Lytechinus pictus: one gene and its partner. The protein of the gene in region 1 purifies or fractionates together with the protein of each later gene. This does not show direct contact. Links are inferred from orthologs where the notes say so. Each region holds a gene or a part of one and is shown on either strand. Other genes may lie near its edges.

What was found. The genes of interacting proteins can lie anywhere in the genome.
Region 2: the proteins of T-complex protein 1 subunit theta-like (region 1) and viral IAP-associated factor homolog purify together in Homo sapiens (affinity purification with mass spectrometry; 3 studies listed by BioGRID and IntAct, with this or other methods). This does not show direct contact. The link is inferred for Lytechinus pictus from reciprocal best matches to the Homo sapiens genes CCT8 and PDCL3.

What each region holds. Positions count from the first base shown.
Region 1 is NC_087248.1:14,145,072-14,148,830, forward strand, and holds the start of T-complex protein 1 subunit theta-like, read right to left. Parts: upstream 2,272-3,759; 5' UTR 1,946-2,271; coding exon 1,886-1,945; intron 1-1,885. UniProt on the Homo sapiens protein: Component of the chaperonin-containing T-complex (TRiC), a molecular chaperone complex that assists the folding of actin, tubulin and other proteins upon ATP hydrolysis.
Region 2 is NC_087245.1:32,495,785-32,499,543, forward strand, and holds the start of viral IAP-associated factor homolog, read left to right. Parts: upstream 1-945; 5' UTR 946-1,096; coding exon 1,097-1,102; intron 1,103-3,759. UniProt on the Homo sapiens protein: Acts as a chaperone for the angiogenic VEGF receptor KDR/VEGFR2, increasing its abundance by inhibiting its ubiquitination and degradation.

The sequences.
Region 1 (3,759 bases):
GCCAACATTTTGCTAACTTCCAGTAAACGCCTCGTCATATTTGTTCCAGAGTCTAACATTACTTTTCTTCTTAATCATAGGTGGCAGAGATATATGTGCCGTCTATAGCTGCAAGAATTACCACAGATTTTATGAAGACAAGTGCAATTTTCTTTCATTTTCGCGCACTGTCTGTGCGTATTTTGAGCTGTGCAGCTGCTGTGTGCTTTGAATTGTATGCACGGACAGCGGGCATGCACTCTCGGCCCAGGGGTACGTCGGCGAGGCAGTGGAGGAAACTGGTCCCAGAATTCCAAGCAATAATAAAATGATGATCAATAAAACAAACTCTGCAGTAGATTTGATTACTTTATTCTAGTGTTATATTTTTGTAATATCAATCGATAGTCAAGAATACATGTTTCATAAATAATTATCTCAATCATGATTTTATTCAGAGTAGGCCTATAAACCGAGCTGTGTTTTCTTTTTCTCTCCACAGATAGGCTACATAATATTATTGCAAATTATTCAGGATCGTGGTCGGACATTCTGAAGTTTTATAAGTGGCATGCATAGACAAAATAATGAATGAAATATAACAAAAAATGAGAATAGATGAAAGTATATTGATAGAAAAATAAGCAAAAAAAATAAGAAAAAAGAATTTAATGAGGAAGGTGATCTGAAAGAGAAGTGACTGAATGCGATGAAATTAATTGAATATGTAAATGTTGAAATAAGATTTATTTCAAAAGAATGGAATATATATCATTTATATGAATTAAATATCCAGTTTCAGACAAAATAAAATTACAGAGGTTTGAGGGATAGGGCCTATACGGGATCATAAAATGTTTTTAATTTTATTAAAACTTAAAATGTTTTAAATTTAAATAAATTCAGATTTATAGTATTCTGCATGTCATAGGCCTATTATATATATATAAATATATATATATATATATATATATATATATATATATATATATATATATATATATACTAGCTTATTTTTGGCTTTAGATTTGTCTCATGCACCCCCTATATAGAAATTGTATGATCAAACTAAACAGCCCGACTTGCAAAAAAAGGACTATATTTCCCCCAAAATAACAAAAAACTTGGCTAGCTAAATTTATATGGAGATATATGGTCTACATTATGTTTCTCATGAATATTCTTTAATGGAAAAATATGCTATCTAATTTGGATCACCGATCGACGTGCTCTTTTCTAAAGACGATCGGCAATGACCCGCAATCACTTTTCCCACAAAATCTTCCCAAGTTTAGCCCCAGAAAACTTCGAAAATACGGTGAGTATTGAGTTCATACTTTCACTGGGCAATCATGATACAAAGATTGTTCTATAAATCTACATTCAAGTATCCAAAATAATTTAAATACGAAGAAATAAGACTTAAAAAAAACCCTGGATTTTGAGTGACACTACACAAAACATATGGCGTTGTATGGCTTCCCGAAAGCCGATTCCGCGTTTGCCCCCTTTCGCATCTCGTCATCCTCTGCGATGACAGACGCCCTCACGCGACAGACGCTATTTGCGATAAGGTCTATGAACAAGGTTGTGATGGCTATGGCCAAAGCAACGGCAGTCCTCTGAGCTCTGCCTTCGCCTGACCGACTTGACTAGCCCTGCGGCTTGCTCGCGCGGGTAGGCGCTACCTATCGCTAGCTAGCTCATTCATACCGCCGGCCGGCCCGATACAGGGTCAGTTGGCAAACGTGAACAAGGAACACCTTGACAACGGAAAGACGATCGATAATTACTACCACCACCTACACACCAGTAAATCAAATCATCAAATTGAACTCACAGGTACATGCAATCATTATCTATTCTTTCACAACCTCGGATAATTCTGGAGAGGAATAATACTCACTTTAGCTCCATCTTTCAGCATTTGGGCAAAGCCCGGTGCACGAGGTATGTTCATCGCCATGTTGAACTTCGGATGTAGTTAGTTGAGATAGATGTCTGAACAGCCGTTTTCTTGTACAATTTTATTATTACAAATCATTGGTATCCTTATTTACACGTGCATATTTTAGAGATAAATCCTTTTCATGTATAATAGCAATATTCAATTCTGTAAAAAAAATCTCTAATTAAAAAGCAAACAGAACATGACTAACTTTTATGTCAAATGACAATACTCGATGTACATGAAGGAGGAAACAACTGGAGAAAGACTATTCGCAAAAGCATGTTCTAGAAAAAAAAGTGAGTCACGGCGCGGCCGTCAGTCAGCTAGTGCAGTTATACAGTGCGTCCCAGAAAAAACGAAACCGAGATTTCGCGATGATTTATCATATCTTAAAGGACAAGTCCACCCCAACAAAAACTTGATTTGAATAAAAAGAGAAAAAATCAACAAACATTACACTGAAAATTTCATCAAAATCGGATGTAAAATAAGAAAGTTATGACATTTTAAAGTTTCGCTTATTTTTTACAAAATGGTTATATGAACGAGCCAGTTACATCCAGATGAGAGAGTCGATGACGTCACTCACTCACTATTTCTTTTGTATTTCATTATATGAAATATGAAATATTTTGATTTTCTCGTCATTGCCATGTGAAATGAAGTTTCATTTCTCCCTGAACACGTGGAATTCCATTATTTTAACATTTTGTTCTTCAGGCAAGGAGGTCCTAATCATCAAATTCGTAAAAATTGAAATATTGTATAATTCAAACAATAAAAAACAAAAGAAATAGTGAGTGAGTGACATCATCGACTCTCTCATCTGGATGTAACTGGCTCGTTCATATAACTATTTTGTTAAAAATAAGCAAAACTTTGAAATGTCATAACTTTCTTATTTTACATCCGATTTTGATGAAATTTTCAGCATTATGCTCGTCTGATTTTTCTCTATTCATTCAAATCAACATTTTTCTCAGGTGGACTTGACCTTTAATCATAAATTTGATAGACAAATGACATAGGCGGATCCAGCTTTTGGCGAAGGGGGGGGGGGCGTACTGCCGAGCGGCGCACATATTTTTGTACTTCACCGGCGCCATAAAAGAAAATGTTGAAAAAGGGGTAAAGTCTTTGCTGGGGGATAGTCTTTCCTTGACTGTTGCTAATATTATATCAGTGTATAATTTTTTTAAGCGGCGCCTTTTCTTTTCTTTTCTTTCCTTTATTTTTTATTTTTCTAAGCGGCGCCTTTTCTTTCTTTTACTTTTCTTTTATTTTTTTTTTGAGCGGCGCCTTCGGCGCTGCTCAAATATTAGGGGGGGGGGCATGCGCCCCCTGTATCCGCCACTGCAATATACCATTTGGCCATAGGATACAAAGGCAACATACAAGATAACAACCAGACAATTTGATTTCGCGATAAATGTTATACAACATCATTTGCAGTGACATGCACATTCGTGTAATAACAACTTGATCTAACACCACGTAGTATATCTGATAAGAAAATATAAAACCAAGTAGTTATAACACGAAAGTTCCTCTTAGAGTGATGTCATCTTACTTTACCACCCCCATAAGCGCAACAAAACAGTAAATATAAGAGGTCTACCTTTTTTTACTGATAATGCATTTTATCTGTATATCAGTGCAAAATTCGAATGAATCGCGGCCTGCTCTATGTGCCCCCTCTTCAACAAAATTCTGGACCTGCCCAATGCTCTCAAGTATGGATGGAAAGCCATCTATTTACGTTTGCATGAATCATAGTTATTGATTTGCTAAATATCATTAAATTGAATTGGATTGAATAATCTAAAAGT
Region 2 (3,759 bases), on another chromosome or scaffold:
CAAAAGGGGGGGGGGGGTTCACAAACATGTTTCTTCGGTCTCGAAAATATTGACAAGCACCCCAAAGTAGAATAAAAATGGGTTTCACTACAAAATATAGGTCAGTTTGATAACATGTTTCCATTTTTTAACACCTACAATAATTTATGGGAGTGCTGCCTATAATCAGCTAGACGCAGCACCCCCAAGGAAAATCTTCAGCACCCCCGCATCCCATGCAGGGCCATGAAAATCACAAGGTAATAGTTGGGTCACGGTATTAACTGACATTGATTGCTTGTCATATCGAAAAGTTTAATTTTCTCTTCTTTTTATTCCGGATGGGGGCGGGGGTCCTCTCGCTCGCTTTGCACCTCTCACACGGCAGCATTTACTTCTTTTTTAAAATTAATTTCTTGAATGTGTGTACACCCGGGCGTTTGAAAGCCTCAGTTATGCATACATTTACGTAGGAATTGTGACTTTATTCGTACGACTGCATGGTGACCTTATCTTTGCCTTGAAGATGAGGGATATGATATGCAAGGCAGACCAAGCTTGCATGAAAAAGAAAAATACCCTGAGCTAGAACTCAACTGCTGGAATACAAATTAGACGCTTTGTCGATCTTTGATCAATTTTTTGTGAGAACTAAAAGGGGGTCAGATCTCATACACTTTGTTGATTTTGCTAAAAAAAAATAATATACTCCTTTTCCTATTTTTGACAATGTTTCTCTTTCTTTTCTCAGGTACTCCTGTTTGCATGCTAGCAATTTTTTTTAATTTTTTTTTTTGGGGGGCACGTGACCCCATATCCCAGTGTAGTTATTCACCTGGATCATGACTATCACTGACCTGTCAAGCATATACAAGGAGGATATTAATTCTTAAAAAATGTGACAAAACAAAATTTTAAAGGATTGCACTTATATTTTTTTTGCACTGAACGTGCAAGTAAAACAAAAACAAAATCGTGATCGATAGCGCTGCTGCATAGTATCGATATCTAGCTGAGGCGGAAATACTATCTCTCGAACCCGAGAAACGAGAGTTCTTATTTATTCTATTTGCGAAGCATCTGAGTCTCTCCCAGTTATCTAAAGTATATAGAAATCATGCAGGTAATGAAACGAAGTTTTGAGTGAGTGAATGATATTTATGATTATATATTTGTGTTGATTTTTAAGGGAATGTTGGGAAATTGAATAGAGGAAGCCTGAATACAATACACAAAAATGCACATTCGGGACTGAGCTGTGAGTACGTTTAAACATTGCACTCGTGATAAATCAATGGAAATGAGAAGTGGGCGGAGCTCCAGCAGAGCTTATCAATAGTCATTGCCGTGCGTGGATTTCCTTATTTGGTTATTAAAACATCTTCTTGTGTCTGGCAAAGGCTAAAACGTTTAAGATCTACATGTGTAATCATGATTGTTTTGTTGTTTTTGTTAATTTTCACTGAATTGGTTGTTCATTTGTACTAACTTTAGCCTTTTTAATGATAGGGAAGTTAGGGTGTCTGGAGAAAAGAAATATTTTTCTTATTTCAAGAAAATATCACATTTTTTTGTGAATTTGAAGAGAATTAACCATCAGACTGACAGAAATATAACATTTTTTGTTTAAATCCAATTATTTGCTGCAAAAAAGAAGAATGAAATTAGGTCAATTTTCAGCATTTCCTTGCCATAGACTGTGTAGTTAATAAATGGACACACACAAATCCAAATTTTTAGCTTCCGAGAGCTGTTATAAAAACTTATAAATTCATTATTAATGCCAAAAACTTGTCCATAAAGTGCCTAATATGAATTTTTATGCTCTTTCTGATGGTATGATTTTTATAAAGATTTGAAAACCAGATCACTATGAAAAATTGCGACAAAGTGAACAAATTTGTGCAAAACAAAAATTTCATTTTCCCATAGAAAACGCATGGGGAAATGGCAATCTCAACACACACACAAATAAGGGTTTGCAATTTATCTCTAAATCCTCATTTCAAATAATCCTATAAACTTGTCCTTACTGTTAAAAGAAGCCCCTGAATTTTCTCTTTCCATACATGCCAAATACAAGTTAAAGGACAAGTCCACCCTAACAAAAAGTTGATTTGAAAAAAGGAGAAAAATCCAACTAGCAAAACACTGAAAATTTCATCAAAATCGGATGTAAAATAAGAAAGTTATGACATTTTAAAGTTTCGCTTAATTTCACAAAACAGTTATATGCACATCCTATTCAGTATGCAAATTGGCAGACTGATGACGTCACCCACTCACTATTTATTTTCTATTTCATTATATGAAACATAAAATATTCTAATTTTCTCCTCCTTGTCAAGTGAAACAAAGTTTTATTTCTCCCTGAACATGTGGAATTACCATTATCTTAACAGTTCCTTATTGTCAAATTTGTAAAAATTGAAATATTTTATTATTCAAACAATAAAAAACAAAAGAAATAGTGAGTGATGGACATCATCGACTCTCTCATTTGCATATCGCTGAGTTGTACATTTAACTGTTTTGTGAAAAATAAGCGAAACTTAAAAATGTCATAACTTTCTTATTTTACATCCGATTTCGATGAAATTTGCAGCGTTATGTTTGTTTGATTTTTCTCTATCGATTCAAATCAACAATTTTCTGGGGTGGACTTGACCTTTAATAATTAATTCAGATCACATTTTTATAGCAGCCTGAATTTCCAGAAAAAATTTGCCATATTTTCCCCTAAATCAGCCTGTTTTAAGCTGACACTTTTCAGTGTGGCTTCAGACACCCTAATGATAGGCAAGAGTACCGTACTTGGGTCAAACCAAAAACTTTTGTAATTAGACCTACCACTACAGACACTGATTGAGTCAGCTAAGGTTAGTAGGCCTAGAACTTTGTAGAAGGAAACTTTATATTTTCTGAACATACACTATACATGTAGGTATACATGCACTAAATGATAATTGTTGAAGTATTAGTAATACTCTCAAACTTGTCAAAGAATTTTCTTACCATGACACAGGTACATGTAAATTAGATGGCCTTATTACAAAACAACATCTAAACTCAATCACAATTATTGGAAATACTCCTGTAAAATTGCAAAAAAACTGACCACAATGCACAACCATATCGTCCATCTGCCACGTCGACATCTGGTTTCAAGAATTAAAAGACTTTGTAATATATAACACTTACTTTGCTTGGAAGACGATTGACAGATGAATAGAATTTGTAATAGTATGAAGGTGGGCACCATGTCTGCGCACCTAATTATGTAATTTTTAATTTAACATGAATTTGTTTTAATTCCACAATACTTTTTCCATTGATAAAGTTCCTTATATGCTTATGAGGAAGTGTGCCAAAAATCTCATAAAAATTGGAAATAGATAATGGCCAGTCATTTTCAGATTAAAAAAGAAATGGTGCCCCATGTCTGCACACCCATTCACTTTACACACGATTCAGGGATTTTGATGAAGAAGGCAGCGTGTTGAGGCCGTCAGATGAAATGCCTAAAATTAAGTATTTTCCACCATTTTGAGTCAGATTTTTTAATGAATATCTGTCTATGTATTGCAGGTGTAAAGTTTTTTATCGTTGTGTATCTTCTTTTACTAGTATTAGAATCGTGCAGATAGGCATGCATGCAGACATGGGTGACTGCACAGACTTGGAGAACCTTACCAGAACACCATTGTGATTGGCACTTGTATTCACAAGAAGAAGATCAATTCGGAGCAAGACGAATTGTTACCTGTAGACTTATTCTTG